7 linked regions of the Nothobranchius furzeri genome follow. The protein of the gene in region 1 purifies or fractionates together with the protein of each later gene. This does not show direct contact. Links are inferred from orthologs where the notes say so. Each region holds a gene or a part of one and is shown in the gene's direction. Other genes may lie near its edges.

Region 1 (3,500 bases):
TTTTGGGTTGTAATGCGAAACTTAAAAGGTCAACGTATCAAGTCGGAGACTCTTGGATAAGTGAATCGATTTTTCTTCCAAATCAGTGAACTGGAACAGGATCGGGGGTCCAATAACTGATCTGGTGGAGCTCACCACCACACAAGAGGTGATGTGCAGCAAAAAGCACAGAAACAGTAATTAAGGTAGTTTAGGCCTTCTACAGAGATCATCAGCAGCGTTCTGTATTCATGCTGAGTTAACTGCCGTGTGGTGGATGTTGGAGTGACCCTGTGATGGTGTGACACCCCCTCCAGGTGAGATGCCCGGTGACGGTGTGTGGGGATGTCCACGGTCAGTTCCACGACCTGATGGAGCTGTTTAAGATTGGTGGGAAGTCCCCCGACACCAACTACCTGTTCATGGGAGACTATGTGGACAGAGGCTACTACTCTGTGGAGACGGTCACTCTGCTGGTCACGTTAAAGGTAAATCACAGGTTAATGAGCCACATTCTGCCGTTTGACCAGAAACTAAACAGTTTTTAATCGTCAGAAAAAAACTTTCATATTTTCTAAGTTCGTAGACGTTTGTTTTTCTCCTGTTTTTGATCAGATTTAATGTTCAGAAACGCTTTAAAGCTGTGAGGGTAACAGATCTGATGAACAAATGTCTGAACTCGTTCTTCCCACCACTCCAAATCTTCTAAAAATAATCCTCGTTAGTCTGATTTTCTTTGAGAGGCGTCTCTGAGGTTTTGGGTCAACATGAAAACAACCTAAAGCCAAAAGGAGGCCTGTTGCTGCATTTAAATCTGTTTCTCGTGAGGTGGTCCCAGGTGGGCCGAGTTACGGGCTCCACTTTGTAAACCGTCGGGGTCGATGTTATTTCTGACATGCAGATAAAATCTGTTTTATTCAGTAAATCTACAGTTCAGTGCTGCAAAGTTCAGAGTTTTTCACCCAGACGGTCACCAACGCCAACATCAGACGCTTGTGGGTCTGATGTTTGTGTTGGATGCTGCTGTCGGTGTGTTGATGGGTTTACCGTCCAGCTTTACTGTATCGGTAATAGGGTTGTCACGGTAACCGGTGTAGCGGTACACCCTGGTAAAAAAAAAAAAAGTTGACAATAATAACCGTCTTGTTTTTAAAACACATATTATCTCGGTGGGTTACCGTGGCTGCGGTGTAGGCGCGGTGACCCTTACCAGCCACCGTATCATCTGCTGAAGTTGCCGGCGGCACATGCGCACTTTGTTGTTTACAACCAAAACTTTCTTGAAGCTAAAGCTGAAATAATGTCCAAAGGAGGAGACGGCAGCACTCAGGACATTTATTATCCCTCAAAGAAGACAAAGTGGGAAGTACGGGCATCTTTTGGATATCTGAAGAATGCCGAGGGACAGTTGATAGAAGACGGCTATCCTGTTTGCAGCACGTGCAGAAAAAGTGTCTGTGAAAGGCAGCAACGCTTCAAATCTCATGACACATCTGCGTGACCATCGCCCACAACTCTACAGTCAACGCAAGGCAAGCTAACGTTAGCGTTTCAGCTAAAATGCGTGATCCGAGGATTTGGGTTGAGGGAGAACGCAACGAGTCGCTATATAAAGCAGCCGCAGCGCCGCTACCTGCATATAAACCGTGTCGCGGACACCCCCATGTTGAAATGACGCTATGCATTACGGGGCTCCCAGGGGCAGATAAGAGTTGGTCTCTCTCCGAGAGTAATTATGAATTTAACAACGATTACTGCCTGATGACATTTTCCCACATCTGCAATATCTTGCAAATACTGACAGCAAGAATTATACAGTGGCATTTATAACAAATAAATGCAAATAAATTGATGTTCGCAAAATGTTGCATAACATTTATTGAGTCGTGTCAAGGTGCTGTAGGAGCGTGCACTAGCACCGTGTCCTCAGAGATTAGTTATTAGTTATCAGCGTGAGGAACTTATTCTACCTTATTTATAAACTATTTATTTACAGGTCCATCAGTTAATGTAATAATTGTCCCAACCACAGCTGCACCCCCCAACCCGGTCTCACAGCAATCAGTAGGCAAGCTGCACGCGCACATTTAGCCATTTTTAGTGGCCCAGGAGTCGGCAGGTGCGGTGTGTGTCACTCACTCTGGTTAATCCAACAGGAAGCCGACTCTGAGAGCCGTTTCTTTAGCGACCGACACATCACCACATCATTCTCTTTCCTAATGTCCTGAAGAACAGTCCGGAGCACAGGCGGAGTGTTTAGCTAACCTGCAGGAAATGTCAACGACAGTTATCCAGAAAGTAGCTAAGGGTTACCAGAGATGTTTCTGAGGTGTTCGCTAGGTACTTTTAAGATTTAAAAAGTCAAGAAGGGAGTCTGAAAAGCTGCTAGAAATTAGGGCTGTTGCGGTTGAGGAATTCCCCCTGCGGTGATTCAGGGTGGCTTAATATTGCGGTGTGCGATATTATTGCAGCACTTTTTTTTATTGCAGTACTATCTAAACATAATGTTTACACATTTAAAAAAGGTTAAAAACTGCCGTGCCTTCTTTTATAACACTTTACCGAATGCAGATCAAAGGGCAGTAACAACACAGATCGCAGTAACGTTTGTTTCTCCGACAGTCCGACTGAACTTAAAAACAACAAAATTCAGGACAAGGTTAAACTTTTAAATGCAAATTTGGCTGCAGCATCTAACAAATAAGAAACAAGTCCCCATTTTGTTTAGTTGTTTAAAATCAAGCATAAAAAATTACATGTACCGGGCGCGGGGCACTATCATTTCACTTTCACACACACAAATGACGGTGCTTTATAGCTCGGTCACGTCCTTGTTACCCACAAGGAAAACCAGCATGTTAACCATATACGGTTTGAGAGAGGATCTGAGAGTGGGGGCAACATTTCCAGCAACATTGAAAACCCTCTCGGATGGTGCGCTCGTTGCACTAACGCACACGTACTTGCGTGCGACTCTGGCGAGCAAAGGGAATCTCTCCCGGTTGTTGCTCCACCATGTCAGGGGGGTTTCTTTAGGGTGGATGCATTCCTCCTGCAGGTAGCGAGTGAGCTCCAGCTCGCCTCAAACTCTCTTCGGGACGGTTGCAGAAGCAGTGCTTGTCCGGGACTTCAGTGGGTCTCCGAGCGTTTATTATTACTTTTTTGCCGCTGGTGGCAGCTCTGTCTCGGCCAAGGACTCTGGCTGCGCAGCAGCTGACGTACTGAAAACCAAAGTGCTCCCAAAGGAGCGAAGTAACGTTTCGTTTTGATACCAGTGCAGCCATCCTTCTCAACATGCATCATTGAGTTGAACCAAGTTCAGTAATCGCGGTGGGTTTCTTCATACTGCGATATTTCATTTTTGCGGTTACCGTGACAGCCCTACTAGAAATAGCGTCAAAGTCACTGAGGCCTAGTCCACACGTAGCCGGGGTTTTTTAAAAACGAATATCCGCCCCTCCAAAAACTTGCATCCACACCACCGCGTTTTACAAACAAACTCTGTCCACACGTACCCGGAT
Region 2 (3,500 bases), on another chromosome or scaffold:
TTTCTAGGCGCAGCCAATGTGTGGAGGGCATCCATTTTGGTGGCCTGAGGATCAGTTCTCTGCTTTTTGCGGATGATGTGGTCTTGTTGGCTTCATCAGAACATGATCTTCAGCTTTCGCTGGAGCGGTTCGCAGCCAAGTGTGAAGCAGCTGGGATGAGAATCAGCTCCTCTAAATCTGAGACCATGGTCTTGGTTCAGAAAAGGGTAGAATGCCTTCTCCAGGTCAGGGATGAGGTCCTGCCCCAAGTGGAGGATTTTAAGTATCTCGGGGTCTTGTTCACGAGTGAGGGAAAACTGGAGCGTGAGATCGATAGGCGGATTGGTGCTGCATCTGCAGTGATGCGGGCGTTGTACCGGTCTGTTGTGGTGAAAAGAGAGCTGAGTCAGAAGGCAAAGCTCTCGATTTACCGGTCGATCTACGTTCCTACCCTCACCTATGGTCATGAGCTTTGGGTAGTGACCGAAAGAACGAGATCGTGGATACAAGCGGCTGAAATGAGTTTTCTCCGCAGAGTGGCTGGGCTCACCTTCGAGATGGGGTGAGAAGCTCTGTCATTCGGGAGGGGCTCGGAGTAGACCCGTTGCTCCTCCACATCGAGAGGAGCCAGGTGAGGTGGCTCGGGCATCTGGTCAGGATGCCTCCTGGACGCCTCCCTGGTGAGGTTTACTGGGCACGTCCAACCGGGAGGAGACCTAAAGGTAGACCCAGGACACGGGGGAGCGACTATGTCTCTCACCTGGCCAGGGAATACCTTGGGATTCCCCCAGAGGAGCTGGCCCAAGTGGCTGGGGAGAGGGAAGTCTGGGCCTCTCGCCTTGTCACCACTTTACTGAGCTCCAATATTTACCAATTGGTGTCATTTGTGTTTTAGTGTAAATATGAATCTGTGAACTGAGCGTTTAGGAGAAGATGGGCAAAAATGACATCAGTTAGACAATTAAAAATAGTATTGCTGCATTTTAGACTTTGATGTTTTGCTCATTTATAATCTCTAATCTGGTCTACCTGCAGGTGTTAATCTCATTGTTGATTTCATCAGTTGTCGATCCACAAGAGCTAATTAATCATTTCATAAACTCACCGCAGGTTTTTTTGGTTGTTTTTGTCATTTATTGACATCACAGTGATAATTGCTGATTTATTTTATCCTGATACTAACCTTCAACATTTCTGCATGAAATCATGAAAAAATAGCAAAGTATATTTAATGGGATAATTTTTATACTCTGATTTTTGTGTCTTTGCAGCTGTAAAGCAGCTGAAGGAGACTGTGAGCTCTTCAATACACAAACTGGCCAACTTTGATGGTGAGCGTTTTAATAAACCATAATTATTTAGGTAGAAATATCTTGTGTGAATACAAGAAACTTGTGTAAAATTGTTGGTTAAAACATAAAAACACATCTCTACTTTGTATTCATGATTGCAGAAGTTATGGACTCCCACCTGCAAAACAACCAAACTACAGAAGACAACATCCTGGCCAGTCCTGATCGACTAAAAGGTAAAAATTACAGAACTAAGAGAGTGGAAATTCTATCTTTTTGAAGGCGTTCACAAGGATTTGAGCTGATGGCTATATAGAGCACGAGCCATTCCAGGTTAAATTTCATCCATTTAAATTAACTCGTAGCTTAAAAAAATTCCCATTTGAAGCAAACGCTGTACCATTTAAACCAGCTGTCACACCAGAGCTGAGTGCCGAGAGATGTTCATTCCTGAAAGTTTTTCAATCCAGCATCAGGACTTTCTAGTTAATCGAATTTAAACTAAATATTCTGTAAATTATAGTTCTAATCTATCAGCAGGTCAAAGCTGAACAAGTCAGAAATCATGACCTGCCCTCTAAATCTGTGCATTTCTACAAAAAAAAAAAACTGAAAACAAAACTGCTGTTGGGGCGGCAGCGAGGAGGTGGAACAGGTCGTCCAGTAATCGGAGGATCACTGGTTTCAACAAGCCCAGTTTTATTTCTATAGCACATTTAAAACAGCACGGCAGCTGACCAAGTGCTGAACAATAAGAACAGAACGCATAAAAATAAAATACAAATCACAAAATTGACACGGCAAATCAATTAAAATAATAAATGTCCAAAAGCTTGACTAAAATTATGTGATTTCAGGGCTGCTTTAAACCGGGCTAACAAGAGGTCTGCCTCACATGAAGTGGAAGTTCATCCAAAGTTTTGGGACGGCAAATGAGAAAGCTCACTTCCCCTCTGGTCTTACAGGAGTACTTGGTCAGGGGGCACGTATGGGATGAGCAGCTCAGACAGATACGAGGGGCCAAATCGTTAGTAAACAAACATTAGAACCATAAACTGAATCTGGTACCATACCATACCACCTTTATTTATATAGCACTTTAAAAACACAGCCATACGGCTGACCAAAGTGCTGAACTGTCGCACAATAACAGAGATAGAAAACATAAAACAGTACTATGAAATATGTAACGGAATTGAAGTGATGTAACTATCTAAAGTTGTATTTTAATACACTGTTAGTAGTTCACTTTTTATAAACAGAAGAGTAGGCTGTTTTTATCATCAGGGAGTTTAATTAAACACTCTGTATTGACTTTGAGACAAGAAAAGAGAGAGAGATGGGATCGTTTGAGAATCTTTAATTTCTGAATTATAAATTCTAAACAATCTACCAGGACTACTCTGTGATGGATGAGAATGGATTCGGATGTTGTGTTGGTGCGTGTGTGTGTGTGTGTGTCTGGTTCAGATTCTCTAGGCTGACGTCAAAGAATCTGGTCGTCTTTGTTATGACTAGATATCACGAGGCTTATAAAGTGATGACATGAGCCGCTATTTTGCCGTGTACGTACCCAGTGGGGGTCTCCCAGGTAGATCAGGAAATGCCAGGTCTGGAGACCTCGGATGTACGATGGAGCTGTCGGTGCAGCGATCACAACGTTTCAAAGCCCGTCTGGAGGGTCGACCCCGGTACCGTTCGTCGGCGTCAGCAGGTGCTCTTATTTTGAAAGGACGTCGTCTGGTTGTTAAACGACGAAAATCTCCCGCTTCACAGTTCTTAGTTTAAAGAAGAAAACACATCTGGCCAGGCTGCGCTTTTCTTTAGGATGATGGTGAATAGAACTGAAGTCAAAATGGAACTGACTTAAAATGGCGTTGCCTTGTTTTATATCTCTGAATTGTTGATAAGTTGAACCGTCACCTTATCGTGGTGGAGGAGTTTGAGTGCCCTAATGATCCTAGGAGCTATGTTGCCTGGGGCACTTAGTGCCCCTGGTAGGGTCTCCCATGACAAATTGGTCTTAGGTGAAGGGTGAGACAAAGAACGGTTCGAAGGATCTTTCATGGCGGTGAAAACGAAGAGTCGGAGTACCCGGCCCGGAGGGTTACCGGGGTCCCACCCTGGAGCCAGGCCTGGGGTTGGGGCCCGTGAGCGAGCGCCTGGTGGCCGGGCTTTCGCCCATGGGGCCCGGCCGGGCCCAGCCCGAACCGGATACATGGGCTCGTC
Region 3 (3,500 bases), on another chromosome or scaffold:
TGACTAGTTTTTAACCTTATTAAAAACTGTTTATTTTTTTATTTTATTTTTTTTATCAGATGCAACAATGAACTCCACCCATAAAAATATGTCTTTTCAATAGTTATCCAATTAAAAAGGGCAAATCATAAGCTTTTGTAGAACATTTCAGTTCTGTTTTTCTTTCTGTATTCATATATGAATTTAAAAAGGTGAAATAACTAGAAAATTTCAGGCTTACGATGAATTTTAAAAGTTCACAAGCTTTATTTTGAAACGTCAAAATAGATGTTATTGCATTTAATTCATATAAAACCATAAATAGTTAAATCTACTCATGGGGGTTTGGAGGAAATTTGAGTTCTCTTTCTATTTATGTTTTTGTTTATGTATTAATTTAAAGGCACACTTGGCATTTTTGCTTGCTTTTAGCACCCCCTAGTGTCCACTATTAATTCAGAGGTCAAACTAAAATTTAACTTCTCTCCTCGCTGTGGGTTCGTTTGTTTAATTACCTTAATCTATCAGCTGAAATGTCCCTTTAGCCTTCATTATTTTCTACAGGAGTGGTTCATCACTAAATCAAACAAATCAGCTGTGTTTATGATCTAAAACATGCAGAAAACATGTTGAAAGCAGAATGAAGCTCTACTAAGTCAGCTTCCCCCACCAGCAGGCCTGGACCAGCAACTCTGAAGTTGCAATTGCGATGTTCTGGCCATAAAGGGCCTTGTTAAAGGTCATTTTAACACATATTGAATCAAGAAAATGATTTTAAAATATGAAAAAGCTGCATAGTATCCCTTCAAAAAAGAAAAACACAATTTTACCAGGTACAGACAGAATGATGCACTTTATATTTCACAAGCTTTATTCTGAAACATTAACATAGATTTTAATAAATTTCTATGCAAATAATTCATAAAATATATACTGAGGGGAGTGATGTGTAATAGGAAAACATGTACATTTTCTTAATACTGATGTCATTAGACTGAACCTGTATGTAGAATTCTCACTGCAACATTGATGCTCCATTGTCTTCATAGCTGTAATGGTGCGAAGAGCAGCGTGGCTCCGTCTACCTTGTAGCATTTTTCCTCTTTTCCACACAAGGCTTTTAGTGTTTTAGTAGGCCACCTGCACTGTCCCGTGATCCGCCCAGGAGAAACCAGCGGCCCACGGGGGAGTCAGTTGACACGGAGACACCAGGAACACAAGACTCTTAAATAATTGAGGGACAAATGCTTGGAGGCCAGTTGTAAGGACAAAGTTAAGTTCAACGTAAAAGAAAACTCAAACATCAGGTTGAACATTGTTCTGTCCTTTTATAGTTGTAGGTATTGTTCAGTGATAAATGGCGTAAAATACTTATAGTGTCTTTTCTATTTCTTGTCTTTCAGTTTGCTGTAAATATGTTTAGGACATTGCCTCCATCATCCAACCCAACAGGAGCAGAGTTTGATCCTGAGGAGGATGAGCCAACACTTGAAGCTGCGTGGCCTCACCTCCAGGTTCATCCATACTACTACCGTTCTTCTTCAGTGCATTTAAACTTTGAAATCCCTTCCAACATCTGGTTTTCTGTCATTTTGCAGCTCGTCTATGAATTTTTCCTTAGGTTTTTAGAATCACCGGACTTCCAGCCCAATATAGCAAAGAAATACATCGACCAGAAATTTGTTATGCAGGTGCAAAAATATCACATTCTCATTATTATTTTTATGCAGTTCAAGATAAGTCCCTTTAGAGGCAGCAGAGCTGGTGATGTTTTTAGTGTAAAACATGCATTTTTTAAAATTTCAGCTCCTAGAACTGTTCGACAGTGAAGATCCAAGAGAGAGAGACTTCCTGAAAACGACTCTCCACCGGATCTATGGGAAGTTTCTGGGTCTGAGAGCGTACATCAGAAAACAGATCAATAACATTTTCTATAGGTCAGTGCTGTCTTCTGTCACCACTCACACACACACACACAGATCTTAGTTTGTTCCACTGAGCAAGGCTCTTTGTTTTTACAGGTTTATCTATGAAACGGAGCACCATAACGGTATAGCCGAACTACTGGAAATACTTGGAAGGTAAAGTGCACACCTACGGCCGTAATTCAGTTTTTTATGTTCTACATCTGAGCTAATAAAAAAGATTCATACTCTTTGTAAATGCTTTAATTTTTTTAAATTATTTTTATATGTTTTTTTTTTTTTTTTTTTTTTTTTAAGTTTCAAATCTTAACCGGAACAAAATGGAGTTTGTTTTAACAATCACAAATCTGTTATAGTTTATATTTGTTACAGAAAATTGAAAAAAAAAATGCTAGAATTACGACTTCTCAAAAGTTCTGAGATTTTTTTCCTCATAATTCTCAGATATGAGAAAAAAGCCGAATACAAGTTTTATTTTGGTGGATCGAGGGGAAAAACGGCAGACCCCTGTCAGATCTGTGATCTATGCTTATTCAGACTTGAAAAATCAATCCCATCAACTTGTTTTGTTTATGTTCTGTAGAAAATGTTCCCAAATGGTAACAAACTTAATTCCCTTCCTGTTGTCAAATGTCCTGATGGCTCTTTTTGTGTTTCTTTGTGCAGCATAATCAATGGTTTTGCCTTACCACTGAAGGAGGAGCACAAGATTTTCCTGTTGAAGGTTTTATTGCCTCTGCACAAAGTCAAATCACTCAGTGTCTACCATCCACAGGTATGTCCTTAAGCCTATAATTAAATGAGGAAAGCCGCATCTTTAGTGTCTGACGTAGATTCTGAAAGGTGTACACAGTAAACTCTTTACCACTGAAATTTACTTAGAAACGACTAGATTCGCTGTTTTGCCTGAACCTGCTAGCCTCCGCCTGCAATAAAAATTTCAGTCTTCAAGCATTTGGCTTCCTCAATTGGTTTTCAGATTTAAATGTTGTTTTTGTTTGTTTTACAGCTGGCCTACTGTGTGGTGCAGTTTTTGGAAAAGGACAGCACTCTAACTGAGCCGGTATGTCATCAAAGCGTTGTTCCCGTCTTGTTATCCTCCCTAATGGTTAATAACAACCACCCGTCCTCTCTGACCGGTTATTAACAACTACCTGTCCTCCCATCAGGTGGTAATGGCTCTACTAAAGTACTGGCCAAAGACTCACAGTCCCAAGGAAGTGATGTTCCTCAACGAGCTGGAGGAGATCTTGGATGTCATCGAACCATCAGAGTTTGTTAAAGTTCAGGAACCTCTCTTCAGACAGCTGGCTAAGTGTGTGTCCAGCCCACATTTCCAGGTAAAAAAAACCTTTTTATAATGTAAAATAAAAATGGTAAAAGTTTCTTAGATTAATCCAGTTTGAGTTAATGCAAATAAATCAAATGCAATTCAAATGTTCGCCCGATGAAGAACAGAAATTGGGATTAGTCGTGAGAGACGCACGCATTGAAAGAGACACTCTGACACGTTATCTTGTTTGAATTAATGTGTATATATATGTCGATGGTGCCACCAGAAACATTCAAACCATTTTTAAAAGAGAAGTTGAGCTT
Region 4 (2,896 bases), on another chromosome or scaffold:
AAATGTTTCAACTTTCTGGGATCGCGTCGCTGGGTCGCCTGTGCACGACACGCGCACGAGCGCAAAAATTCACACGCACGTTTTTCGTATTTCGCTTGGTAGGAGAGAGACCCGTTTAGATGATTAAACGATCACCATGGTTACCACTCTCTCCAATGCAATATGCCATTGTTTAGTTTTCCTTTGATTCTTTCAAAATAATTGAAGTTACCAAATACTTTTTACTCCACTAAATTATTTATGTACGACCGAACACATACCCTGCGTAGGTTTGCATGAAATCTAACGTGGAAAATGAAAGCAAACATGTCAGTTATTTTTTTAAAACCAAATCAGCTGAGAGTCAGAAAACAGGAGCGATGCTTCTGGTCTTTACGTCCCCTGACAGCTCATGTGGGATTGTGACGAACAAACACCTTTTGGAGCGGCTCGTGAAGACTTCATGTTGTATAAAAAGCGAGTTAGGTTCAAGCTAAAGGGCGCAGAGATGCCCCCCCCCCCCACACACACACACTTTGTCCCACCATCACGTAGTCTTTGTGAAAACACGTGATGGCGTTACAGACTCACCACTTATAAACGACCAAAGCCTCCCTGGTGCTGCCTCAGCTCTGCAGCAAAGTAACGCCGAGTTTCTTGAAGAGGCCGGAGTTGCGGGAAAGTTTTGCTAATCCTTCCTCGAGTGTCGGCTGGTTAGGATCAACGACCACCAGCTTCCTGTCGTCCAACCCAGGATGGAATTGTGTAAGGTGCTGTCGCGAGTCGGTGGTGTTGCTGTGGTATTTGATTTTAGTTTTACACACTTTACTTTAATCCTCCTGATGAGTACATCTCACGCTCAGTGGCTAAAGCTAATAAGAAGCTTCCATGTTAGCGGTTTTGTTTTTTCCGCTGGTCCGTCCCTCTAAAGCAGGGGTGTCAAATACGCGGCCCGAGGGCCGAATCCGGCCCGCAAGCGGGTTAAATCCGGCCCGCGAGATGGTTGTGTAAACTTTGTTTTCATACTTTACAATGTAGAGTGAAAATAAACGTATCTTTGTGAGCAAGTTTCCTCTGTAATGAGTATAAATAAAACAAAGCTGCGCTCAAGGCTCACACAAGAACTTGAATCACATCCTGAAGTTGGCCGCCACTCAGGATGTGACTTCTGATGTTGATGTGCTGGTGAAAGCTAAAAGATGTTAAGTAAAATGAGTCAAATATACTTTAAGTGCTGCATGAAACTGATCTAGCCATGTGATCTGTAAGCTCTTTGAATCACTAAGGAATGTTTTTATTTATTTATTGTTTTTTTTATTTTTTTTCAAATTTTCAAGTACACTTCAGGTGTTGTACTTTTACTACACTGTCCTCAGGCTCCAGCCTTGTTTTATATTGATTGTATTAAAACAAAGAAAACAATCTGAAGTTTTTTTTTTTTATTTACCGGTCCGGCCCACTTGGGACCAGATTTCCCTCGATGTGGCCCCTGAGCTAAAATGAGTTTGACACCCCTGCTCTAAAGTGTCTGGGCGGCGTGAGTAACTTATGTTCCTATCGCGCTTCACGGCAGTTTTTTGGCGTTTATTTATAATTGATTATGAACGTTTATGAATCTATAATTGATCATAGATTAAGTGGTGAATCTGCTCACCTCTAGTGCATGGATATTAGCTTCTTATCACCGTAGGACCCATAACTGGTATTTGTGAATTTCTCTGTTTTGTTTTCAAACCAGGAACCCCTTGTCACATCAACAAAGTCCTCAGTCACCCCACTCTTCCAATCACCATCACAGCCCAGGAGGACAGGCACATCAAGTTCTTTGACAACAACAGCGGGAAGCTGGTTCACTCCATGGTGGCCCACCTGGACGCGGTCACCAGCTTGGCTGTGGATCCCAACGGGCTCTATCTCATGTCTGGAAGTGAGTATATGTCAAATTAATGTTGTCGTTATTAGAAGATAACAGATGACCGAACTGGGTCTGGCGGTTGACTTCTCACATCCCGTCCTCCTGTGAACAGGTCATGACTGCTCCATCCGCCTGTGGAACCTGGAGAGTAAAACCTGCATCCAGGAGTTCACGGCCCACAGGAAGAAGTTCGAGGAGTCGATCCACGATGTGGCGTTCCATCCGTCTAAATGCTACATTGCCAGCGCCGGGGCAGATGCTCTCGCCAAGGTGTTTGTATGACGTGGAGCTCCCGTGTGTTCCCCTCCTCCTCCCCACCATCACAGCTTCGCTCTCTGACTCAGTCTTTCAGGATCAGGGACCAGTAGAGACTCAGCGGGGGGGTGGGGGCGCTACCAGGCAGGGGTCCGGTCCCATCTCACTCAGCCCACTGGTCACCTCTCAGACTTCATAGCCTCCAAAAGGCTGGGACTCTCCTCCAAGAGGGTTGGCAGGAAGTCCAGTCGGGAGTAGAGCTGCTCTCTGGTCCCCTCCCTCCTCCACCCACCATCCAGGCAGGCCTGGGTGTGACTGGCCACAGAGCCCCTGCAGACTCAAACTTAACCCTCCTCTACAGAAAGGACAAGTGTTAGAGGAGTGGAGGAATGGGGTTCCACCCCTCGCCCCTCTTCCTGCTTATTCCAGCTCCTTCAGATCCTCATCCATAAAAAAAAAAACAAGTCCAGACCCTTTTCTCCAAGTCAGGTTGTGCGTCCGAACCGCCAGGTGCCGACCCAGAAGCCTCCCACGTCCTCTTCTCTGCCTCCCAGACGGACTCTGCTTGCTGACCTGCCTTTCTTTGTTCCTCTTTTTTTAAACCTAATATTGACAAATGTGCCTTTGCTTTAAAAAGGTCTTTAAAATGTTCTTTTAACAAGCTTTCTTTGTGAGGGGGTGTTGAAAACGAGGGAGGGAGGGGAGGAGAATCGGAGCGGGGGGTCACAATGTTGTCAGTTTTAACAT
Region 5 (3,500 bases), on another chromosome or scaffold:
TCCTTCTGCTGCTGTGGAAGAGCATCTTGGTAAGAAAGGAACATAAGGACACTTAAGTTCACCCTCAGAATTAAGTGCATTTTCTGTGCAGGCGTTAGTCATTTTCATTAACTTTGGCTGTGATGATGATGAGGTCCCTTGACATTTTTTTGTGTCACTGACTCATTCAAACGACATTTTTCTAACAAAGCTAAATGTTGCCATAAATATATTTTATTTCACTTAATCTATATTCTTGTGCGTAGAGACCTGAATGTGAGTTTTTCTGAATATCTGACACTCCACACAAAATAAAGGGTAAACAAAAATTATTTTTATGCCCATTTGTGACTCTCCAAAGCTCTGACAACCCCCCCCTCCCCCCCCCAAAAAAAACAAGTCCTCATGACATAACGCACAAGGAACTATTAAATTTTATTTTATTTTTTTTCAATGTTGATTTTTCTTTAAAAAAAAACATGGCACCAAAGGGGCTAAATCTCAAACACATAAATATTTTCCTTTGTTTGGTGAGGACTGAAGCTAAGGATGGAATTTGTGTTAAAAATTTTACTTTTGAAAAATATTATTTTAATTGCATCTTTTGATCAAAGTAATGTTTTTGTGCAAAGAGCCTCCAATGTAGCTTTTATTAAAGGAACCTGTTAGGGTTAAACAAAGTCTAGTGGATCCACAAAGAAGCACTTTTTTCTTTCAGTTCACTCTTGGAGGGTTTGAGCAGCTTCAGGGCATTAAGGTCTGCAAGCGTGAGGAGCTGGGCCTTCCTCCTCTCCCGGAGGACAGCATTCGAGTCATTCGCAGCATGAGGGCAGCATCTCCTCCCGCTTCTGCGTCCGATCTGATTGAACAGCAACAGAAGCGGGCCCGGCGGGAACACAAGGTACTCGACACTGCTGCTGCGTTTAAATATTCCAGGTCACAGAAAACCACTTTGAAGTAAGAGGAGGATGAGCTGTTTACTGGTGTTTTGCTCTGTTTAATATTGTTATCACTACTGCGTTTATTAAGTTTTCTCAAATGAACCGTTTAGACCCATTTTTCAGGCTCTTTGTGGTAGTTCAGTGTTTTTCCTCCTGTCATGCTGCAGCTGGGCTCCAGTCTGAGTGTAATGATGCATATCTGAACTCGTTCCAGGCTCTGATCAAACAGGACAACCTGGACGCTTTCAATGAAAAGGATCCCTACAAGGCCGACGACTCTCGCGACGACGAGGATGACAACGATGACAATGACAACTCTTTAGAGCCGGAGACTTTTCCTATAGAAAGAGACGAGGTGATGCCTCCACCCATTCCCCACCCACCATCAGAGAGGATGTCCTTCCCTAAAGGTCTTCCGTGGGCTCCCAAAGTCAGGTACGTCTCAGTCTCACCCCACAAACCTGCAGATTTAACTAGGGATGGACAATATGTCGGCATCAATATCGGTACCGGCTGATGTTCGTCGTTTTTTAACATATCTGTATCGGTTTGATAAATAAAACCGGGCGGATATGAACAACCAATATTTTTTCCATCTTGTCTCCATTTGTTTGCCTGTTTCAGAGGGTGGGGTGGGGGGTGGGGGGATGTGTAATACTTAAGTCATGTAAACAGTAAATGAAATCATCTCAGAAACGTAAATGTGTATGGGGTGTGTACGTAATAACGTAACTTCAGCTTTAATAATTTTCATTTTATACAAAATCTGCTGATTTTAGAAGCATTAATGTCAGTATATCGGTATTGGCAAATATCGGTTCTTTTTCTAACTTCGTTCGGTGTTTCATTATGGGAATCGCCCTGGCGTGACCAACTATGGAAGCTCCAATGACATCACGTCTGTCCCTGCGCCGTGCCCAGGCTCCGCCCACCCAGTATATACACGGCCAACCTACCCCTCAAACTCATTCTCGCTTTCTTCCCGTGAGGAACTACACTTTGCTCCCTCAGCGATTTTCAGGCCATCTTTGTTTAGCTGCTTAACTGTTCCGAGGCGTCCCCTCAGGATTAGTCGCCGAACGCAGTCTGGATTTGAGCTGAGTAAGTGCGTCTAAGGCCGGGCGTACACTGTGCGACTTTTTCACTTTTTTTGAGCCGATTTTCCACTCGTGCGAGAATCCACGAGATCGGGGCGAGTTTTGCGCCGAGCGTCGTGTACGAGAGGCGATTAACACCACGTGACCAGCTACCGATCAGCAATCGTGAGGTCGCACAAACTTCTGGCATGTTTAATATTTTGCTCGTCCCTCGTGAGGTTATCGCACTGTTGAAGCGGCGCTGTGAGCAGCTGCGACCCAAAAAGTATCAGAACCGCTCACGGCGCATGCGCAATCATGCATCAACACCGCTCGCCCGCTATTTCCCTAATAACACACGTTGTTCATTTTTATTTCTACACGTTTTTTTACTCACAAAGATTGTCAAGAAAGCGTGTTTGTCGTGTTCATGTCAAATTAAACTGATCACAAAACACAGATTTACTTTCTTTATTTCGTTTTCCTCATCCAACCCCCATAAATCCCTGTGTGTCCTCCTGCAGCTCTCCCGAAGGACAACAGGCAAGACAAGACAAAAAAGTATGACGTGTTGAGTAAAAACTGCTATTTTTAGCATATTTTTAGGGCCGACGTGTTGCTACCAGACGTACAGTGTGAGCAGTCGGATCGCATCCGAGAACTGGGTCGTACAGTGTGAGCACATGACTCGTGAGATCTGCCCTGCGAGGAAGTCGTACAGTTTGAGCTGAAGCTGAGTGCTACGCCCAGCTTAAGTCACTTGTCACACTTCACTAGGAACAGTCAACGCGTCACGGCGAACTTCCCCTACGGCTACTCTGTTGTCATTGACGGAGTGGTATTAGCGAGTGTGGCTCAAGCGAACGCGTTGAGGCGAGCTTGTCCTGTGCTTATTTAGCATTTATTTGCTAATGAGCTACTTTGGTGCCGCTAACGTGTCGCAACGAGTTGCGCTACATACAAAATATAGCTTTAGTTGCAGACTTACACCTGCTAACTAGCTTACTAACGCTTTTTCAGACTAACATGTCATGACTAGTCAGGTTGTCAGCTATGGCTTCCACCCCTATCCCAACGGACGGGTCGGAACCGAAGGCTAAAGAGGCTGCATCCCGCCTGTGCCCGGCATCATGTGGGGCTTCTATTTCAGGCAGGGACCCTCATCCTATGTGCATAGCTTGCATGGGTGCTGCTCATGCCCAGGCATCGCTGGCTAACCCGCAGACATGCCCTCACTGCTCCTCCATGCCGGAGAAGATAAGGGAAAGGAGGCTGAGAGTGGCAGTGGCTAACGGCCGGGACCCAGGCCTCTGCTCGGGCACGCCTGTTGATAAAGGTGACAACCATCAGCCACGAGCCTCCACTAGCTGGGCGGATATGATGGAAGAGGAGCCCCCGCTACCTCCTCTGTTCGAGGGGCTGGTGGACAGCGGGCTGCTTGATGCCGGTGATGACGAGGCTGGAGGTGATGTGAACTCAGATCTCCTCGACTTGGACATGGAAG
Region 6 (2,601 bases), about 29 Mb from region 1:
CACCCACCAGGCATATAGAGTGCCCTGATTGGCCCACAAAGCGAATAAAGCTCTGTGATTTGTTCACTAAGCAGATAGAGCACTATGATTGGCCCACCATTATGGACTAATCACAGCTCTTTATGTGTTTGAAACCCCTCTAGAGAGCTGTGATTGGCTAGCCAGAGTCCTGGTAGGAGCTGCTGAGGTTCCAATGGAGCATGCCTAGACCAAACTTTGCAAAGCAAGAATTTGGTCTAGTTCACTAGGCTAAAGTTTATCGTCAATATCTAATTGTTGTTACTTCGTTCGCGCCACTCCTTTCCCCGCGAAGCGGCTCCTTTTTGCGCACATCTCGTTACTCGTGCAGCCTTCCTCTCCCTCTCCGCTACATAATGGTACTTTTTATCGATTGAATATGTGAGACTTCCACCAACAGCAAAAGGATCTCGTGTTTTTGTGGGTTTTTTATGTTCACAAGCACGTTCCCTCTCACGGATCACTTCACTGCTGTTTTGACAAGTTGTCAGATTGTCTAAAAATAGGTCGTTTAGTTTAGTGTAACTCCGCTTTTACGTTGCCTATTAACAAAATTTAAAATCTGGGGTGTAGTTTATAATCTCCTTTTTAAAGCTGAATTGAAACCGAAACTCGGGGAGGCGGAGTCTTGCTGCTACAGCTTCCCAAATCAGACCTGTTCAAAAGACGCGGATACGCGTCCATGGACCCCAGAGGGTTAACATTATGTAAAATACAATTTATTGTCTGCAACAATAAGGCTAGAATGCTATGGTCTCATCTTGGTGCTTGACAGAAGTGTGGTTTTTTTTCTGCAGGGTACAGTGTTGATAAATAATGCACAAGAACTGATGAACTTCAGTAAGGGAGAGGAGGACATGATGGAGGCCCAGGTGAAGGCCATCAAAGAAGCTGGTGCCAACGTGGTGGTAACCGGGGGCAAAGTGGCGGACATGGCGCTGCACTACGCCAACAAGTACAAGCTCATGGTGGTCCGGTAAGATCAGCAGCAGCTCCAGTGATAAAACGTTATTCTCTAGTACTCTACCAAGTTATCCTTCAGTTAATCAGATAATCATTTACATGTGGTACATTAGCATTTTTCAACCTTTTATTTTCAAGGCCCTCTACTTGTACGTATTATCCTCAATCTCCACCACAAAACTTCAGTTTATTCATTTATTGGAAACCTTTTTCGGAACATTTGACTTTTCAAAGAACAAGCTCACTGAGAAACCTCTATTACTTGTTCTTTTTTAAATTTGATCGGCCAATCTGAGTTTGAACGTGAAAATAGTCTTCTATCCCCATCTCCTGGATTATCCGCCAATAGAAGACACGAGGAAAAGCTCTGGTTCGAAGACGCCTGACAGCTCCACGTCACAAATTAGCGTTCACTGACTCACCCATCTTGGCTCACAGCAAGGAAGGCTGTTGTTTTCGTGTCCAGGAGAGAGCAGAGTGCGTTTCAGCTAGTAGAAGCTAACCGTTGGCATTAGCAACTCCATAACACAGTGGAACTCCTTCGGGCTTGTGTTATCTGTAGAGATTAAACATCAGCATTGCAAAGTGAATGAAGGCAGTGAAAGAGTTGCATTGCTGTTATCCAATCAGAGGTGAGGTGTTCAAATATCACGAATATTAATGAGTAAGACTCCATATCTGACCCCCACACACACACACACACACACACACACACACACACACACTTTTCCGAATAACTTCCTTCCACTTCCTGAAACAGAAGCGCCAGAGCTTTTTTCCCATAGAGATTGACTCACACAGCAAATGTATTAAAATAAATGAAGACTCTTCACAATTTGCTTTGGCAGTAAGGTTCAGTGAGGCTGTTTTGGGGCTCACCCGAGCTCCTGTCTCTTCAGGGTTGTAGTTCGTCATGAGCCCTAAGGGAGTTCTTCTTGATTTAAATGATCGTTCTTGTCTGCTTTGAAACCTGAAACCTTCCTTTATCTACAGGCTAAACACCAAGTGGGACCTCAGAAGGTTGTGCAAGACCGTGGGTGCTGTAGCTCTGCCTAAAATGGTTTGTAAAGTCATTTTTTCTGTTATCAGGGGTGTAAAAGTAATGAGATTAATCCTTGAGGTGTTATATATTCTTAGACGGCTCCAACTCCAGATGAGATGGGTCACTGTGACAGTGTTTACTTAACAGAAGTGGGAGACACTCAGGTGGTGGTCTTCAAACATGGCAAGTTTTGTTATTTGTTCTGTTTTTATTTTAAGTTTGTTTCTGCTTCAGCCGAGTCCCAAGTGTGATGCTTTGTCTGGCTTTGTTTTGAAACAGAGAAAGAAGATGGAGCCATCTCCACCATCGTGATCAGAGGCTCTACTGACAACCTGATGGATGACATCGAGAGGGCTATCGATGATGGAGTCAACACTTTCAAGGTGTTGGTCAGGGTAAGTCGGTGCTAATCCCTTTGCAGAGTTTTCAGATATATTCGTTTAGTCCGTTTAGCTAATTGAATTCCTGTTTTACCATTTCTCTCCAGGATAAACGACTAGTACCCGGAGCAGGAGCCACTGAGATTGAGCTTGCCAAACAGATCAGCTCATATGGAGAGGTGTGTTTGTGACTTTGGT
Region 7 (4,214 bases), on another chromosome or scaffold:
AATGTCAAACTGATGAGACCTACTGCAGTTTTCTCATATTTGAATACCATACAGTGTAGATTAATCTGAAAAACACAACTAAACCAGAACATTTTCAACTTTTCTCACTTATTAAAGCAAAGTGTTTATCATCTACTTCACATCTACTTCAATATTGCATTGCTGACAGCAGTAAAGGAGAGCTGCACACATGAACTCTTTACTAACACTTTCCTACGCTAACCAGCTGTGCCCCTGTGGTTTCATCCTCAGACGAAACCTTTGAAACGTCCTTCAAGGCATAAAAAAAGAAAACATGCACACCGCTTTGGGTAAAATCCTATTTGTACACTATAATTACACTTTGAAAAGTTGCAAAGTTTAAAGTTTCTAGACCTTCACTTTTTCTCTCCTCATTTCGGGTATTGATTTTGCTCTAAAACGCATGTTAGGCCAGTTGTTACACAGAACAAAGAGATTTCTCATTACACGTTGTGCCTCAGACAACTTTGAATGCTTCAGATTGGATTTACCCGCGTTATCAAGGGACAGATAAGGGAAAACGCAGTCAATAATTTTCACAACTATAGAACCACTGTTAATCTTAACAAGAAGGCCAGAGGCACTGTGAATGTGCTTGTTAACAACAAGGCAGTGGTGGAGTGATGGGTGTCTCTAATGTATTTAATGATGGAGATAAATAAAAGAAAAACATCTAAAACTGTCAAATTTGGTCAAATAAATACAAAGCAGAGCTAACCTCTTTCTCAAACAGCCCAATTTAGCTTTAAATGAAATAAAGAATGCATCATGCTGTGATGTGAGGTATAAAGTTCTAATAAAAACAAGTATTTACAGCTGCATATGTCATTGCCAAGTTGGACAGATTAGTTTGGATCCAATTGTGGTGCTGCTTGCAGTGTAATTACCTAGCAAAACTGTGTTTACAGAAACAAACCGTTATTAAATTGTTGGTTTTGTTAGCAGCGTTAAAAATATTTCCAAGGGAAACTGTTTTTGTACCATTAAAATCTGGTTCTTTTATCATATTTATCATATCATATTTATTTCTGATATAGAGTTGGACGTATTTGATTTTTTTTCTGTTTTACCTTTATATCTTCAGAGTTTAACATTCATGGTCGTGTAAATCAGTCTAAGAATGTGCAATCACACACACACACACATTCAGATTTTATGAAAGAAAATCTATAAGAAATGCTTTCAGTCAAAATATTATAAAGTCCTGGACAAAACATTGTAGCTGGAATCTTGTTTTAGGGCTTTTGGTGAGATTTTCACACACTGAATTAACAAAAAATGTGTTTAAATTGCACTTAAAGTGTTTTGGAGGTGTCAATCTATCAAGTTAGCAGCAGTGAGACGCCAGTCTCCCTTTTCAGAAGAGCGTTTGCATATAATCTCGCGATAACACGACGCTGTCACCAAGGGGAACGGGATTTTAAAAAGTTGTCTGCTCTGTTTACAGTACTGAGATTCTCTGTCAGAAATCGACAATTTAATAAGAGATCTGATTTTGTTTATCCTACTAGTTCAAGGAGACATGCAGCAGCGTCGCATATGAAGGAACCACGATGTCATGAATTATCAGTGTTTGGCTCTGTCGTCCCCTCACAGCGAGGTTTGTAATAGTTTTATCACGAAGGCAACATTAGCTTGCCCATGCTAGCTAACAGTCGTAGTTCTAGTGATTTCAACAACAGCGTGTTTTTGCAGGGTGATGTGATGCTAAGTAATGAAATGTTAACTTTTAGTTATTTGCATCACAGTAACGTTAAAATGGCGGGTAAATAATCGCAGTAAAAGAAGTTTACGTAGCTAAAATTGATGGTTCGCGCTTAGATTCAATAGTGAGTGTTGACTGAAATGGCTAACTTTACTTTATTCCCATACAGGTGTCAACCTCAACGCAGTAGTAGTTAGCAAGATGCCGTCGCAACAACTACTCCAACCAGTTCTTAAACTAAAGGTGGACGAGTTGTTTCTGAACTGGCTGAGTGATCCTGAAACCCAGGCGGTCCTCAAGGATTATCTTGATTTAATCAAAAATGGACAGTATATTGACGTGGGCAGTGAAGCCCAGGACAAAAAGGCTTTGAGTTTCAATGAAAACAACAATGTGGCGTCCCAGAAGAACCGGGCAGAGAAAAAACCTGCTCCCATCGGTACCCCGTCCGCTACCCAGCCCAACAGTACGCTTCCCTCTCGCAGTAGCAGTAATACCAGAGTGACTGGACCCAATAGCAGGGTACTAAGGAGGTCTGTCAGCACACAAAAGGTAAATGATTCAAGCATGAGTTCTAAAAAATACATATATAATTTTTCTAACATGTTTTAGTCATACATAATTTTTTTGTTATTAAAACTGTAATTTAGAATAAATGGTTTGACTGGCTTTAAAGTTATCCTACCACAGGGATCTCATATAAGGGTGCTCATATCAACATCACGTAAATGTTTTCACATGATACTTGTAAATAAGAGCTTGTGACATAAAATATATGAAAAATCATGTTTTTTTAGTAGCATGTAGTTATATTTTTGACAAGTTAAAGAAAAATGCTGAGCATTTAATCAGTGATTCCAGACATCTTCGGTAAAAATACAATATTACTGCCTAATAGTTCTTTAATAATGACCAATTCTTTAGAATATTACAGCTCTTTAGAAGTTTCACTACCATTTAAACAAAGGGATAACTTTAGTAATGATGAACAGTCTGACATCACAACTCAAAAGCTCGTCCTGGGCATTAACAGCTGAAATTAGTATATTAAAATCTTCCTAGCTGGAGTTTTTCTGGGATTTTTTTTATTTTATTTTATTTATATTTTTTTGTGAACCAATGAATAGTTTCTGTGTGTGTGATGGTACAAGTTACATTGCAAAACATGCATTCTTGAGGGGGGAAGCTCCCACATTTGTGAGTACAGCACACCAGCTGTATCTTTTTGGGATCTATTTCCTCCCCTGGCTGGCCACAAGAGGCTGCTGAGGACCTTACAGGGATGATGCCATTAAGAGGTTCCCAGAACTGTCAAGTGTATGTGTCTGTAGGCCTTGAATAGGTATTAATTAAATATGTTCCTAGTGTTCAAACCTCACCCACAAAGAAATGTGGTATGAGAGGGGGGAGTGTCTGTGCCAAGCCTTTTTCTGGCACTCGTGATGTTTGTAGGTTGTGTAATAAATCTCTCATTTGTAACAAAACAGCCCAGAGGTAGATAGTTTAGGTTATAATAGAAATGTATAGCGTTGTGAAAAACTATTTGCCCCCTTCCTGATTTCTTATTCTTTTGCATGTTTTGTCACACAAAATATTTCTGATCATCAAACACATTTAACCATTAGTCAAAGATAACACAAGTAAACACAAAATGCAGCTTTGAAATGGTGGTTTTTATTATTTAGGGAGAGAACAAAATCCAAACCTACATTGCCCTGTGTGAAAAAGCAATTGCCCCCCTTGTTAAAATATAACCCAACTGTGGTGTTTCACACCTGAGTTCTATTTCTGTAGCCACCCCCAAGCTTGATTACTGCCACAGCTGTTTCAATTAAGAAATCACTTAAATATGAGCTGCCTGACACAGCGAAGTAGACCAAAAGCACCTGAAAGGCTAGACATCATGCCAAGATCCAGAGAAATTCAAGAACTTTTGAGAACCAAAGTCAGTGAGATCTATCAGTCTGGTAAAGGTTATAAAGCCATTTCTAAAAATTTGGGACTCCAGCGAACCACAGCGGGAGCCATTATCCACAAATGGCAACAACATGGAACAGTGGTGAACCTTCCCAGGAGTGGGCGGCCGGCCAAAATTACCCCAAGAGCGCAGAGACCACTCATGCGAGAGGTCACTAAAGACCCCAGGACAACTTCTAAAGAACTGTAGGCCTCACTTGCCTCAATTAAGGTCATTGTTCACGACTCCACCATGACAAAGAGACTGGGCAAAAATGGTCTGCATGGCAGATTTCCAAGACGTAAAACACTGTTAAGCAAAAAGAACATTAGGGCTCATCTCAATTAGGGCTGCTCGATTATGGCAAAAATAATAATCACGATTATGGTGACTGAAATTGAGATCACGATTATTTAGGACGATTTTTCAATTTATGTTGATTTTATTTGTTTTTATTCAGTCATAAAATTGCTCAGGGCACAATCAGGACAAAAATAAGAAACAAGATGATCACTAAAATAACTCCTGATT

The links.
Region 2: the proteins of serine/threonine-protein phosphatase 2A catalytic subunit beta isoform (region 1) and slmapa purify together in Homo sapiens (affinity purification with mass spectrometry; 3 studies listed by BioGRID and IntAct, counting the BioPlex papers as one, with this or other methods). This does not show direct contact. The link is inferred for Nothobranchius furzeri from reciprocal best matches to the Homo sapiens genes PPP2CB and SLMAP.
Region 3: the proteins of serine/threonine-protein phosphatase 2A catalytic subunit beta isoform (region 1) and ppp2r5ca purify together in Homo sapiens (affinity purification with mass spectrometry; 3 studies listed by BioGRID and IntAct, counting the BioPlex papers as one, with this or other methods). This does not show direct contact. The link is inferred for Nothobranchius furzeri from reciprocal best matches to the Homo sapiens genes PPP2CB and PPP2R5C.
Region 4: the proteins of serine/threonine-protein phosphatase 2A catalytic subunit beta isoform (region 1) and striatin purify together in Homo sapiens (affinity purification with mass spectrometry; 5 studies listed by BioGRID and IntAct, counting the BioPlex papers as one, with this or other methods). This does not show direct contact. The link is inferred for Nothobranchius furzeri from reciprocal best matches to the Homo sapiens genes PPP2CB and STRN.
Region 5: the proteins of serine/threonine-protein phosphatase 2A catalytic subunit beta isoform (region 1) and strip1 purify together in Homo sapiens (affinity purification with mass spectrometry; 6 studies listed by BioGRID and IntAct, counting the BioPlex papers as one, with this or other methods). This does not show direct contact. The link is inferred for Nothobranchius furzeri from reciprocal best matches to the Homo sapiens genes PPP2CB and STRIP1.
Region 6: the proteins of serine/threonine-protein phosphatase 2A catalytic subunit beta isoform (region 1) and cct8 purify together in Homo sapiens (affinity purification with mass spectrometry; 4 studies listed by BioGRID and IntAct, with this or other methods). This does not show direct contact. The link is inferred for Nothobranchius furzeri from reciprocal best matches to the Homo sapiens genes PPP2CB and CCT8.
Region 7: the proteins of serine/threonine-protein phosphatase 2A catalytic subunit beta isoform (region 1) and ppp2r3b purify together in Homo sapiens (affinity purification with mass spectrometry; 3 studies listed by BioGRID and IntAct, counting the BioPlex papers as one, with this or other methods). This does not show direct contact. The link is inferred for Nothobranchius furzeri from reciprocal best matches to the Homo sapiens genes PPP2CB and PPP2R3B.

What each region holds. Positions count from the first base shown.
Region 1 is NC_091750.1:36,852,041-36,855,540, forward strand, and holds part of serine/threonine-protein phosphatase 2A catalytic subunit beta isoform, read left to right. Parts: intron 1-296; coding exon 297-467; intron 468-3,500.
Region 2 is NC_091743.1:68,934,241-68,937,740, forward strand, and holds part of slmapa (sarcolemma associated protein a), read left to right. Parts: intron 1-1,250; coding exon 1,251-1,310; intron 1,311-1,432; coding exon 1,433-1,507; intron 1,508-3,500. UniProt on the Homo sapiens protein: Associates with the striatin-interacting phosphatase and kinase (STRIPAK) core complex, forming the extended (SIKE1:SLMAP)STRIPAK complex.
Region 3 is NC_091758.1:28,651,073-28,654,572, reverse strand, and holds part of ppp2r5ca (serine/threonine-protein phosphatase 2A 56 kDa regulatory subunit gamma isoform), read left to right. Parts: intron 1-1,382; coding exon 1,383-1,493; intron 1,494-1,577; coding exon 1,578-1,670; intron 1,671-1,785; coding exon 1,786-1,916; intron 1,917-2,000; coding exon 2,001-2,060; intron 2,061-2,570; coding exon 2,571-2,679; intron 2,680-2,913; coding exon 2,914-2,967; intron 2,968-3,073; coding exon 3,074-3,244; intron 3,245-3,500.
Region 4 is NC_091752.1:1,673,599-1,676,494, reverse strand, and holds the end of striatin, read left to right. Parts: intron 1-1,717; coding exon 1,718-1,906; intron 1,907-2,006; coding exon 2,007-2,176; 3' UTR 2,177-2,396; downstream 2,397-2,896. UniProt on the Homo sapiens protein: Calmodulin-binding scaffolding protein which is the center of the striatin-interacting phosphatase and kinase (STRIPAK) complexes.
Region 5 is NC_091743.1:46,742,398-46,745,897, forward strand, and holds part of strip1 (striatin-interacting protein 1 homolog), read left to right. Parts: coding exon 1-29; intron 30-697; coding exon 698-880; intron 881-1,134; coding exon 1,135-1,355; intron 1,356-3,500. UniProt on the Homo sapiens protein: Plays a role in the regulation of cell morphology and cytoskeletal organization. Required in the cortical actin filament dynamics and cell shape. Part of the striatin-interacting phosphatase and kinase (STRIPAK) complexes.
Region 6 is NC_091750.1:65,571,857-65,574,457, forward strand, and holds part of cct8 (T-complex protein 1 subunit theta), read left to right. Parts: intron 1-815; coding exon 816-994; intron 995-1,974; coding exon 1,975-2,041; intron 2,042-2,118; coding exon 2,119-2,206; intron 2,207-2,302; coding exon 2,303-2,418; intron 2,419-2,510; coding exon 2,511-2,582; intron 2,583-2,601. UniProt on the Homo sapiens protein: Component of the chaperonin-containing T-complex (TRiC), a molecular chaperone complex that assists the folding of actin, tubulin and other proteins upon ATP hydrolysis.
Region 7 is NC_091754.1:29,703,229-29,707,442, forward strand, and holds the start of ppp2r3b (serine/threonine-protein phosphatase 2A regulatory subunit B'' subunit beta), read left to right. Parts: upstream 1-1,414; 5' UTR 1,415-1,560; coding exon 1,561-1,621; intron 1,622-1,895; coding exon 1,896-2,278; intron 2,279-4,214. UniProt on the Homo sapiens protein: The B regulatory subunit might modulate substrate selectivity and catalytic activity, and might also direct the localization of the catalytic enzyme to a particular subcellular compartment.